2 linked regions of the Arabidopsis thaliana genome follow. The protein of the gene in region 2 interacts with the protein of the main gene of each other region in a pairwise test. Each region holds a gene or a part of one and is shown on either strand. Other genes may lie near its edges.

What was found. The genes of interacting proteins can lie anywhere in the genome.
Region 1: the proteins of NAC028 (region 2) and AT3G19184 interact in a two-hybrid assay, tested with the Arabidopsis thaliana proteins (one large-scale study listed by BioGRID).

The regions. Positions count from the first base shown.
Region 1 is NC_003074.8:6,634,126-6,640,028, forward strand, and holds AT3G19184 (AP2/B3-like transcriptional factor family protein), read left to right. Parts: upstream 1-3,241; 5' UTR 3,242-3,429; coding exon 3,430-3,576; intron 3,577-3,655; coding exon 3,656-3,745; intron 3,746-3,948; coding exon 3,949-3,983; intron 3,984-4,081; coding exon 4,082-4,244; intron 4,245-4,335; coding exon 4,336-4,542; intron 4,543-4,627; coding exon 4,628-4,840; 3' UTR 4,841-4,899; downstream 4,900-5,903. Other genes in the region: PARC6 (plastid division protein), read left to right, coding at 1-9, 220-588, 691-786, 931-1,047, 1,456-1,521, 1,607-2,359, 2,467-2,657, 2,744-2,828; ATG2 (autophagy 2), read left to right, coding at 5,754-5,903.
Region 2 is NC_003070.9:24,518,876-24,526,772, reverse strand, and holds NAC028 (NAC domain containing protein 28), read left to right. Parts: upstream 1-2,512; 5' UTR 2,513-2,664; coding exon 2,665-2,821; intron 2,822-3,732; coding exon 3,733-4,010; intron 4,011-4,087; coding exon 4,088-4,420; intron 4,421-4,530; coding exon 4,531-4,902; intron 4,903-5,000; coding exon 5,001-5,091; intron 5,092-5,175; coding exon 5,176-5,840; 3' UTR 5,841-6,105; downstream 6,106-7,897. Other genes in the region: AT1G65920 (Regulator of chromosome condensation (RCC1) family with FYVE zinc finger domain-containing protein), read left to right, coding at 1-653, 739-885, 968-1,329, 1,419-1,506.

The DNA.
Region 1 (5,903 bases), on a different chromosome or scaffold from region 2:
TTAACTCAGGTAACAGGTTCTACTGTCTTGCATTAGTATATATAAAGCTTCTCTGAGTTTACTTTTAGCCCTGTTACTGGCTTGAATTATTAAAAGTGCATGATCATGCCTTACTGTAAATCGCATCATGTTTAGGAGCTTCACATATAAGTACGTATTGTCCAAAAGCATAATTTACCAGCATATTGGGTTTTAAGGGGTTAAAATTGATATTTATAGATTGAGGAGTCACTAGAGGAGCTTGCACCACCTTGCACATTGGATCTACTGGGCCTGCCACGCACGCCAGAAAATGCAGAGAGGAGGCGAGGTGCAATTGCCGCGCTACGCGAACTGCTCAGACAGGGCCTTAGTGTTGAAGCTTCATGTCAAATTCAAGACTGGCCATGCTTTTTGAGCCAGGCAATTAGCAGGTTATTGGCCACAGAGATTGTCGATCTTCTTCCATGGGATGATTTAGCCATTACACGGAAAAATAAAAAATCACTGGAATCCCACAATCAAAGAGTTGTTATTGATTTTAATTGTTTCTACATGGTGTTACTTGGTCACATCGCTGTTGGATTTTCAGGCAAGCAAAATGAAACGGTATATCTCGTTTTCTTTCCTTTTGTTAAATTTAGACTGATTGGTCCATTTCTTCTCTACTCTATCTGCTTATAAAGCATAACATTCAGTATGCTTGTGTAGATTAATAAAGCAAAAACGATATGCGAATGTCTCATAGCATCAGAAGGTGTTGATCTGAAATTTGAGGAAGCTTTTTGCTCATTTCTTCTAAAACAGGTATTTTTCCTCTTGCTTTCTTTATTCTTTTTCCCTATCAACTATGCTTGTGCATCTTATTTACTTCAAGTTCACTTGCTTCGAAAGATCCTTGCGTTGTTCATTTAGTTAAGTGCTACTGGACCTACATGTTGGATAGCACAGGGTTCCGAGGCAGAGGCCCTGGAAAAACTTAAGCAGCTGGAATCAAATTCAGACTCTGCCGTTCGTAATTCGATCTTGGGGAAAGAGTCGAGAAGTACTTCTGCTACTCCCTCACTGGTAAACCTTATGATTTTTACCAAGAATATGTGTTCATTTGTTGCTACGACTAGAGCGAGGGCTATGCCTGATGTAAATGGCATGATCAACTCTAGTGGAGTATGAATAAGTTTGAGCTATGTTTCAGGCTGTAATTGAAACAATGGAAATAGATACATTTAGTGGATGGTAGTTAAATTCATAGAATATGCTTTAACAGCATTGTGTATGCCTGCCGTTAACATTTTCTTTTTCGATTGGTTGTACATACACATAAATCTTAATATTTGTTTGAGTAAGCCCTTGGGTTCATGCACTAAATTTAATTTGGAAATTTTGCAAGTATGTACATCTCTTCGCTAGCTCTGATTTTTTTTCATAGAAAGATTGATAGCGACCTTCATACATGCTACCTATAAAATTGACCAGGAAGCGTGGCTAATGGAGTCCGTGCTTGCTAACTTTCCAGACACAAGGGGTTGTTCTCCATCTTTGGTAAGAATCAGATCACTACTGGAAGATTCTGTATAGCAGTTCTATTTTTATGCAGAAAGATAATCATATATACAACTTTCTGCAGGCCAATTTTTTCCGGGCTGAAAAGAAATATCCAGAAAACAAGAAAATGGGGTCACCTTCGATCATGAATCATAAGACGAACCAAAGACCACTTTCCACAACACAGTTCGTGAACTCGTCACAACATCTTTATACAGCTGTCGAGCAGTTGACACCAACAGATTTGCAGAGCCCAGTGGTATCAGCCAAGAATAATGATGAAACCAGTGCCAGTATGCCATCTGTTCAACTGAAGAGGAACCTTGGTGTACACAAAAATAAAATATGGGATGAGTGGCTCTCTCAAAGCAGTTTGATCGGAAGGGTATCTGTTGTTGCTTTACTGGGTTGCACCGTGTTCTTCTCTCTGAAGCTATCAGGCATTAGGTCTGGTAGACTACAGAGTATGCCTATATCGGTTTCTGCTAGGCCGCATTCAGAATCAGATTCTTTTCTGTGGAAAACAGAGTCTGGGAATTTCAGAAAAAACCTTGATTCTGTGAATAGAAATGGTATCGTGGGAAACATCAAAGTGCTCATTGACATGTTAAAGATGCATTGTGGCGAACATCCGGATGCCCTGTATCTGAAAAGCTCTGGTCAATCAGCTACATCATTGTCTCATTCTGCGTCAGAACTGCATAAGAGACCAATGGATACAGAAGAAGCGGAAGAGCTTGTGAGACAGTGGGAAAATGTTAAGGCTGAAGCTCTTGGACCAACACATCAAGTTTATAGCCTTTCCGAAGTCCTTGATGAATCCATGCTTGTCCAGGTTACTGTTTCTATACATCTCCTATTATTCCTTTACTTAATTATGTTAGTTTACTACAGTTGAACATCAATGTTTAGGTAGAGTCAATATTTCTTTGTTTAATGCAGTGGCAAACATTGGCACAAACAGCAGAGGCGAAATCCTGTTATTGGAGGTTCGTTCTGCTTCATCTTGAGGTTTTGCAAGCACATATATTCGAAGATGGTATTGCTGGTGAGGCTGCAGAAATCGAAGCTCTTCTGGAGGAAGCAGCAGAATTAGTTGATGAATCTCAGCCCAAAAACGCAAAATATTATAGGTAAAAAAAAACATTTCGCTTTCGGGTTACTTTTGGACTGAGCTGGTATCTTCTTCACTGATGCAGCCTTTGTAAATTTCTTGTAGCACTTACAAGATCCGATATATTCTGAAGAAGCAAGAAGATGGATTGTGGAAATTCTGCCAAAGCGATATTCAAATACAGAAGTGAAAATCCCCCAGAAAAAAAAGCTCATCATCTAACTAAAGGTTGTAGCATCAACAGTAGAACATGGGATCATTTAGCTAACGGTTGTTCTTGTTTACCTAACGGTGTAGGAAAGTCTCAGGTTTGTTTCTTTATTCCTTAGTAACCCACAGGATTTGTCTTTGTAGATTCTTTTGATTTCAATGTGTTTATGGATAAACAAACTTCTTGAGTATTTTTTTTATTATTATTGTAAAGCGTTACTGATCAAATCAAATGTTTTCTTAAAATAGTTAAAAATATTAAGGGATCTCAAAATAATTGTTAATTATGGAGGGAAAAAAAAGAAACGTCTTTTAAGAAGCCCATACCTGCTTCACGTATCACGATGGAGGCTTACTCAGACCTTCCACTGTTGAGAATTTGAAATTTCAATTTGTTTGATTAGACACAATGATTAAGATTTTTATTACATAAAAAGAAAAAAAAAATTGGAGAAGTATAAACACATACATAGCGGTGAAAGAAGAAACCCAACGGTCACTCAAAAGCGCATTGAAGAGTCAAGCAAGACTTGGATCTGTCTCTTTCGTTTCTCTATCTCTGTTTCGGATTCCTAAGAGAAATGGTGGAATCGGAGCTAAGCTATGAACAGATTCGTTTGAATAGGGTGGAAGAGAACAAGAAGAGAATGGGGGAGCTTAATCTCAACAAGCTTGCTCAATCTCTTCGTGTCTCTTCTTCTTCTTCTTCTTCTTCCAAGCCCTCACCAGTAACGTTTCCTTTCTCTTCTCTTCTCATTTCTTCTTTTCTTTTTCTGAAATTAACCAATTTTTTTTATGGAAATGTAGGCAAAGCCAAGAACGATGCGTATTCCAGTGGATTTCTCGGAGGTCAGGAGATCAAGCCGTGCCAAAGGTCCACCTCCAAGTTATAAAGAGGTCTTTTACTACCATTTATCTTTACTTGAGTTTCCTTAAGGATTTCTTAAGGATTTTGTATGAGATATGAAATTTGTGGGTTTGATCTTTTTGTGCAATTTTTCTTAGTTATAATTTGCGTGAGTTGTTTCTCTTTTTTTTGAATAAAAACGTGAGTTGTTTCTCATTACTCATTATCAGAGTTATCTGATCCTTACTCGCAGTTTGGGCTAGAACCACTGGAGAGGAGGCCAAGAAGGTTGACCAATCCACACTCTCTATGAATACATTACTTCTCTTACACTATTTGATGTTTGTTTTCACTTTTCAGTATAAGTTATGTGTTTTGCTTTGCAGGAGCTCTCGAAGAAGAGATTTGCTGAATCGGGTATATGCTTCGGACGACGCAAGAATGTACGCATTCGACAGGGCAGAGAAGCTCCAGTCAAGCTTAGATTCAGAATATGCAAGCTTTACCAAACCAATGCTCCAATCACACGTGACCGGAGGATTTTGGTTGGTAAGTGAACAACTTGAACATTCAAAGATGTCTGAAACTCAGCCATAGTAGTATGTAAAAGTCCACTGATGTCATATGTTTTCGTAACCAGGGTTTGCCGCTTCCTTTTTGCAAGGCACATATGCCAAAACGTGATGTAATAATGACTTTGGTTGACGAAGAAGAGGAGGAATCTCAGGCGAAATACCTTGCTCAGAAGAACGGTCTTAGTGGAGGCTGGCGAGGTTTCGCCATTGATCACCAGTTAGTCGATGGAGATGCTGTAGTGTTTCACCTTATCGCTCGAACAACGTTCAAGGTAAAGGAGTTTTACTTAGAGATCTTGAAATACACCCTGGTAGAGAGACTTTGGCATTGATGTTGAAACATATTGCTTGTTCCAGGTGTATATCATTAGGGTAAATGATGATGCAAACAATGATTCAGATGGGAATGAGGTAAATGATGATGATTCAGATGGGAATGAAGAAGATCGAGATAATGATAATGAATCAAACGAGAAACAGAAGGAAACTGTTTCAGAAGGTAGACAGTTGAGAAGCAGTGGTAAGAGGAAAAGACGAGGTAATAATGTTTCAAATCTATTTACCTCTTGACTCTTGTAATAATATCTGTTCGATAAGATAAAACTAAATTTGTTGATTGATGTGTGCAGGAAGAAAGTAGAGTTTGAAGGTTTAAATGGGACTTCTAGTTCTATGGAAGGAGTGGGAAGATGAACTAAAACTTAACATAACAGCTTTTTGCGAGTTTTTTGGCTGAACAGTGAAGTTGTGCAATGAGGGGATTGTTTTTGTGTCTTGTTATGGAGACAAACATGGAACGTTACGGCTAAATATTTTGATTTTGGTAACTACGATTATTTCATGATATTTTATGATTTGGATAAGGGAAAGAGAAACAAACTTTAAGAAAAAGGTTGAAAGAGAAGTCCCACCAAACCAAAAAATAAATCGTAATCACACAAAAACCAAAAAACTTTATAACCGAACTAAACCAAACTAAACCAGATAACTAAATGGCCACCTACAGATTTGTGTAGTGGAATTTAAGCCATTAAAAATAAACAGTTTTAAAATTATGTTGATAAACCCTGGCTTGATATAATAAGATAAGGGATTGAAGACATAATTCGTTGAGAATTGACGCATTTACCCCTTAATTTATGATGTGATCAACTAACTAATTAGAGCCCAATTAGGATTGAGAACCGGTTTTTGAGTAACCGGTACAATAATAGATCCGGTTAAGGAAGAAAGAATAGAAAGAGACGGCACTTATTCCTCCACACGGTAAAGCAAAAGCCCGTAGGACGAAGACGACGACGACGAAAGTCTACTCAACTTTTTTGCTTCCTTCTGATTCTCTCTCTCTCCGCAATCCAATCACGAGAAACCTTCACGTCACCATCCCTTAGAAAAACCCTAAAATCTCATCAAATCCCAAAATCAGGGTCTTCGACTAGAGATTCTCTAATCCCGCAGGGGAAGGGAACAACAAACAAACAAGATGGTGTTTCCGTGGAACATTGCTAAATCAGCGGAGGAAGCTTTTTCTAGATGGGCGGTGAAGAGGGTTGTCAAATTCCTGTTGAAGAAGAAATTGGGTAAACTCATACTTGGTGATATCGACCTTGATCAGCTCGATATTCAGCTTCGT
Region 2 (7,897 bases):
TGAATGGACAACTTGGTTTAGGTGACGTTAGAGATAGAAACTCTCCTGTTCTTGTTGAGCCTTTAGGTGATAGGTTGGTAGAAAGTATAGCTTGCGGGTTGAATTTGACGGCTGCGATCTGTTTACACAAAGAGATCTCTTTGAATGATCAAACCGCTTGTAGTTCTTGCAAATCAGCTTTTGGATTCACAAGGAGAAAGCATAACTGTTACAACTGTGGTCTATTGTTTTGCAATGCATGTAGTAGCAAGAAAGCGGTAAATGCTTCGTTAGCACCGAATAAAAGCAAGCTTTCTCGGGTTTGCGATTCTTGCTTTGATCATCTATGGAGTATAACAGAGTTTTCAAGAAATGTTAAGATGGATAATCACACTCCGAGGATGCAGATGGTTACACGAAGAGTATCTGAGGATTTGACAGAAAAACAATCAGAGAATGAGATGCAGAATCTTCCACAAGCTAATCGATCTTCGGATGGACAGCCTCGATGGGGACAAGTCTCTGGTCCTTCTCTGTTTCGTTTCGATAAGATTTCGACAAGTTCTTCTTTGAATCTTTCAGTCTCAGCAAGGCGAACATCTTCAACGAAGATTTCAACCTCGTCTGAGTCGAATAAGATCTTAACCGAAGAAATCGAAAGGCTAAAAGCCGTGGTAATTAAACTACTTCTTTTTGTTTTCTTACCTGTAACAATAGTAACACATTAGACACTAAAGATACATTTTTATGAACATGTAGATAAAAAATCTCCAGAGGCAGTGTGAACTTGGCAATGAGAAGATGGAAGAATGTCAACAAGAGCTCGACAAGACATGGGAAGTTGCTAAAGAAGAAGCAGAGAAATCGAAAGCTGCTAAAGAGATAATAAAAGCCTTGGCATCGAAGGTAAAAGATACATAGTTTTTTTTAATCTTTCTGTTTTTGGTTTGTTATGTGACCGACATTTTCACGGTATCTTTGCTTGCAGCTCCAAGCGAATAAAGAGAAACCGAGTAATCCTCTGAAGACCGGCATTGCATGCAATCCTTCTCAAGTCTCACCAATCTTTGATGACTCAATGTCCATTCCATACCTCACACCAATCACCACAGCTCGTTCACAACACGAAACCAAACAACATGTAGAGAAATGTGTCACGAAATCCTCGAACCGTGACAGCAACATTAAGCTATTAGTAGATGCATCGCCAGCCATCACAAGAACAGGGTATCTCCAAAACGAAACACAAGACTCGTCAGCAGAACAAGTTGAGCAATACGAGCCCGGTGTATATATAACTTTCACGGCCTTGCCTTGCGGTCAGAAGACGCTTAAACGCGTACGGTTTAGGTAAAAAAATGTTAATGTGCTTTTAAGTGTTTATATAGTTTGAAGTACGCTTAAGTATTTATATGATTGGTTTCTAACTTTGGTTGCAGTCGGAAGAGGTTTTCAGAGAAGGAAGCACAAAGATGGTGGGAAGAGAAGCAGGTTTTGGTCTATAACAAGTATGATGCTGAAATATGAAACTAACTTTTGAGTTTACTTCTTCGAATGTATTTTAATTCATTTTGATGTTTGTTAGTGAATATATGTAATGCAGAAAAATTTCTTTATTTAAGAAAAAATGAAAAAAAAATACTGGGAAAAAAATTCCAATATATGATTAATAAAAATATTTTAATGATCATCTAGGAAATATATATGCGAGTTAAGAAAAATGTTTGTGATTTTGAGCAATGAAGAAGACTTGCATAGTATGTAAATGTAAGTAGAAATATATCTAACATGCTATCTTCAAAATGCGATTGGTTCAATATTACCATTGAGGCATTGACCACGAGATAGAAAATAAAATGATGTATATCAAATATAAAACTTTCATTCTATATTATAGAAAACGTAATAATTGACTATGAAATGTGGCTTAAAATGTGTGAAAACAGTGAGAAAGCATCTCAAAAATTAACAACGTAAAAAATAGTTTACTTATTATGTTTTCTTAAAACCTTACATTAAGTTCTAGTTGTTGAAAATTCCTTATAAATATGTCAAATATGTCACGTCCTTACGTTGGTCGATGCCAAAAAATATGACGAGCAAAAGTTATTAACTAGTATAGGTTTATACATATATATCCGTTTTTACAAGCAAAAATAGTTATCAAATTGTCTTTAATTGGTTACTTTTAATATTTTCACTAGGAGCAAAACTGATAAATGAAATTGACAAATATCTAGTCTATATGCATAAACACGTTACGCATGGATGAACAAAAATAAACATGTTTAGATGAATTATAATGAACGTGAGTTTTCCAACATTGAACATGATACCGAAAAAGCTTATTAAGAACGTTACTGAGAATCAAATTTACACGGAAATATATAAACACATTAAAGTAAAAAGAAAAGTTAAAGTGGAAAATATGTTGTGGGGTTTGCAATTGGCAACCGACCCTAAATGCTTTTTCCAGCTTCTTTTACATAATTTTAATCTCTTTTTGTCTTTCTTACAATTTCATCACTGATCGATCGAATTCAAACCCTTATGTTACGCTTCTTTCTTATATAACTGTCTCTTCATATTCTCACTCCTTCTCCTCCCTCTTCTCCTTTTTCTCTCTTAAGTTCTATAAATGTTCATATTTGTTTCTAGCTAAGAAGTTTGTATAAGGCAGTGGACATGGCTCCTGTTTCAATGCCTCCAGGTTTCCGGTTTCATCCAACAGACGAAGAGCTTGTCATATACTACCTCAAGCGAAAGATTAATGGTCGGACTATTGAGTTAGAGATAATACCCGAGATTGATCTTTACAAATGCGAACCTTGGGATTTACCTGGTATATTTCTCTCTTTGCTTCTTTTTTTTCTTTTTCATAAGATGCAAATCTATCATTTTTTTTGGTCATCCGCAAGTATTTACCATGGACGAAGGTATAAATTTATGATTCTGCATCGTTAGTACATCAACATGTTGTGTCTCATGTTAAAGAAATTTTAAATGAGACCATACCATAGCAACCGAAGGAGAAGACTCTATCTGGTTCTTTTCTAATATGTCATAATCATTTGATTGATATGCTTAGTGTAAGATCATTTTTTTTTGGAATTTAGTAAGAATAACGAAAAATAGATTCATTTTTCTGAAAACTACATAATGTGAAACTAATGTTTGAAAGGGTAACCCTTGAGAGAAGAGACACTTGACGTCCTTTCTTTTTCGAAGATAGATGTTCTTTCCCTCTTTTTCCTTAACATAATATAATTCCCATTTTATTTTCACATTTTTACGTACCAAGTTATGTATCTCTAGTCACGCATCGAACTTGGAATCGAACGTGAATGCTTTATCAACTAAATAATCTTTAATAATTATGATCCCAACTTTATGTTAGAATAAAATTTAAATGGACCCACCCTTATCTTTAGTCTTTAAAAGGATTGTAATAAAACCGAGAGATGCGGTGGTGACTAGTGTGAGACAAATTCGGAAGACCGAGTCAAAAAAGGTAAGAAGATTGAAAAAAAAAGATAATAAGTAACTCACAATAATTTCACATGTGCTTTAGGGTTTTGGAAGCTTCTCATTCACCTTCAACTTTTTGTTTTAAATATAAAACAATCTAATGTTCTCTTTATTTGTCTTTTCTTTTTTAATCTTTTGGATTCTCATGACATGTTATGGAATCTTTAAGTAGTGTGTACAAATTAAGATTGGATATAATTTATCTTAATTGTATGATCCTTGCAGGGAAGTCCTTGCTGCCAAGTAAAGACCTAGAATGGTTCTTTTTCAGTCCTCGAGACCGGAAATATCCAAACGGATCAAGAACAAACCGGGCGACCAAAGCAGGTTACTGGAAAGCCACCGGGAAAGATCGTAAAGTGACTTCACATTCACGGATGGTTGGAACAAAGAAAACATTAGTTTATTACCGAGGAAGAGCGCCTCATGGCTCTCGTACCGATTGGGTCATGCACGAGTACCGTCTTGAAGAACAAGAATGTGACTCTAAATCCGGTATACAGGTAAGCTAACTTTTAAAAAGGTTATCAAAAGATTAAGATTCTTAACTTGAATATAAACCAATGTATAAACATTTCAGGATGCCTATGCACTTTGTCGAGTATTTAAGAAGAGTGCTTTAGCCAACAAAATTGAAGAACAACACCATGGTACGAAGAAGAACAAAGGAACGACTAATAGTGAACAATCTACTTCTAGTACTTGTTTGTATTCTGATGGAATGTATGAAAACCTCGAAAACTCGGGGTATCCAGTCTCACCTGAGACAGGAGGCTTAACTCAACTCGGTAATAATTCGTCGTCGGATATGGAAACGATAGAGAATAAATGGAGTCAGTTTATGTCGCATGACACGTCCTTCAACTTCCCACCTCAGTCTCAATATGGAACAATCTCATATCCTCCCTCGAAGGTAAAATTTAAACTATATATCTCAAAGAAATACAAAATTAAAATTGGTGAATATGTAACCTTTTGTTTTCAAACTAATCTCTTATCCATTGAATTCTCCTCATATAATAGGTTGATATAGCGTTAGAGTGTGCAAGACTACAAAATCGTATGTTGCCACCAGTACCACCACTTTACGTAGAAGGTCTCACACACAATGAATATTTTGGAAACAATGTAGCTAACGATACAGATGAAATGTTGAGCAAGATTATAGCATTGGCTCAAGCCTCACATGAGCCACGAAACAGTCTAGACTCATGGGACGGTGGTTCTGCTTCCGGGAACTTCCATGGAGACTTTAACTATTCCGGAGAAAAAGTCTCATGCCTAGAGGCGAACGTGGAGGCTGTAGATATGCAAGAACACCATGTGAATTTTAAGGAAGAAAGACTTGTTGAAAACTTGAGATGGGTAGGAGTATCAAGCAAGGAACTTGAAAAGGTAGTGATATTTTACAATGTTAAGTGCAAAATATTTTATGTGTTAATATATATGTTATCAAATATAAGTATATGTTTGATTTATTCTACAAATTTCAGAGCTTCGTTGAAGAACACTCAACGGTAATTCCTATAGAAGATATTTGGAGATATCATAATGATAATCAAGAACAAGAACATCATGATCAAGGTAGCTTTCACTTCGCGATTTCTACATTTGGTTGTCTTTCTTGACATCTCTGGATTTGATTTTTTTGTTTTGTTGTTGTTGAAGATGGTATGGACGTTAACAACAACAATGGAGATGTGGATGATGCTTTCACACTCGAGTTTTCGGAAAACGAACATAACGAGAATCTTTTGGACAAGAACGATCATGAGACAACGAGTTCCTCATGTTTTGAGGTGGTAAAAAAAGTTGAGGTTAGCCATGGATTGTTTGTCACAACTCGTCAGGTAACCAACACATTCTTCCAACAGATAGTACCATCGCAAACCGTTATAGTTTATATAAATCCGACGGATGGCAATGAGTGTTGTCATAGTATGACATCAAAAGAGGAGGTTCATGTCCGTAAAAAGATAAATCCGCGAATCAACGGAGTAAGCTCAACAGTTCTTGGACAATGGAGAAAATTCGCGCATGTTATTGGCTTCATTCCTATGCTTCTATTGATGCGTTGTGTTCATCGAGGTAACTCTAACAAAAACAGAGGCAGTGAAGGTTACTCGAGGCAGCCTACGAGAGGAGATTGTAACAATCGGGGAACAATACTCATGATGGAAAATGCTGTCGTGAGAAGAAAAATTTGGAAGAAGAAGAAAGAGAAAAATATGGTTGACGAACAAGGTTTTCGGTTTCAAGATAGTTTCGTATTGAAGAAGTTGGGGCTTTCTCTTGCTATCATCTTAGCTGTTTCTACCATAAGTCTTATTTGAATACTGAGGTTCAATATATCATATATGGCTTTTCACTTTTCTATTGTACTCCCATTTGCCTAGGTCGTATTTACTCTCATTTGCTTTTTCCATTTCTCTAAAGTCGTCTAAACAAAACTAGATTTGGTTATTTTCTGTTTATGTATTAAGTGATATGATCTCTCCGCGGGTTGAACGATCAGTCTTCTGTCTGGTTTTTATTATTATTATTATGTTTGCATGCACGTAAGACGGTAAGAGCAGATTATACGAACATTAACAATTTAGCCATCTTGTATTTCAGTATTTTAGTCACTATAGATATGTGAGTAAGTTTATAGTCATTTTCATAATAACTTGTTTATTATAACGATTGCTGTTCCATGTTTTGCAATGTATAGATCATCAAAAATTACTATCGAGCTATTTTGTTCTTGAATCTTGACAGATAATATTTAAGAATAACCTATACGGTTCAAACTGTCGGTTTCAATATTAAAACAAATGTGAATGGAAGATAGAGAGAGGAAAAAAACCTCTCTTACAAAAGAATCTAGGTGCGTCAGAGAAGCTCGCCAATCTCATGGAGCCAAGATTTGCTTTCCTGGCTCTTAATAGTTTGTATGGATCGGCGATTGAAACTTCATTATTCTCTCCCAAACAAAACATAGAATAAACGAATGTGTCTAACGCTGAGTGAAGAGGACTAGACGGACTTGCCCCGTCATAATATGCATATTACGATACGTTGCAACATTAACAATGTCGTGAGTATGCATATCTCATAACATACCAAATATCGATACGTTTCAACATTGAATTTTTAATATCTTAGTCATTAGCAATTAATAATTAAATCTTCTTTTATATGAACAAATTTATGATTTACAAAAAAAATAGATGTTATGTTTCCATGGATCATGTTTTCAAGCTTGACCGAAAACAAGCTGCTAAAAAGTGTCATAAAAGTTTGGTACTAGTACAACTAGGATTTTGTAACTCTAGCACAAGAACCAGTTCAAAAGATGATTATGCATACTGGATTTTTATAGATATTGTTGATTCTTGCATGGCAATCAAAGAGTTTGGCAGCTAGGTATACCTTTAGGGGTGATGTCGACACCTCTCATCTAGCCTTACTTGCTGAAGTATAACTACAATTGAATCTCACTCCCCCTACCAGAAACTGTTTCCTTCCTCATCTTCATTAGGATCAGATCGGATCACAACAACAAACTTCGTCGAACTCAACCACGATGGACAGTGGTGGCTGAGGTTCGTTGCCTGTTTTAGGGTTGAAGATTGAGATGCGTTAAGTGACTTGTGAGACTTTAAGTAACACACAACGACATAATTTAGGGTACTTGGGCCTTAATGGGCTGGATTGGAGTGTTACAATATACAAAGTTCATCGGAAGTTTAGGTTTATTTTAAAAGATGTTCAATGTGGATCCTAATTTCATGCGTTTTAAAATACTTTAAACATAAATCCCAACCAAAAACAAAAAACTCCCAATATCCTTTGAAATTTACAAAGTTCTTTGAAAGTTTAGGTTATTTAAAACATTGTTCCGTTGAAATATGGATCCATTAATTTTCATGCGTCTTGGTAAGATGTATCATATTATGGATATGGCTTTGAGCCTTTGACTTTATTCCTACTTTAAAGTTACAACTTAAATCCCATTTAACCAAAAAAAAAGAAAACAAGAACTCCCATATCCTTTGAAATTCAAGAAAAATTAATGATACAGTTGGTATATATCATTAACAATAATTACAACACCCTAAAATGATTATAATTTGCGTTATCTTTTACGATCTCAAATCTTGGAGTCGAGATTGTGGTAATGGGGATTGGGATGCACGTGGTGATACGTAATGGGTGTAGACAGAAAATCACAAGAAAGCGAAAGTGGTAACTATTGAAACACAAAGTGACAAATCAAATAATAGTCGCGTGCTTTCTTCACGGGTCACCTCCTCTATTGTTCTCACAATCAATCAAAACCTCACTTTCCAAATATTTTTTATATTTTTCTAATTTTTTTTTTGGTTGTGGTAAGAAATTATTTCAT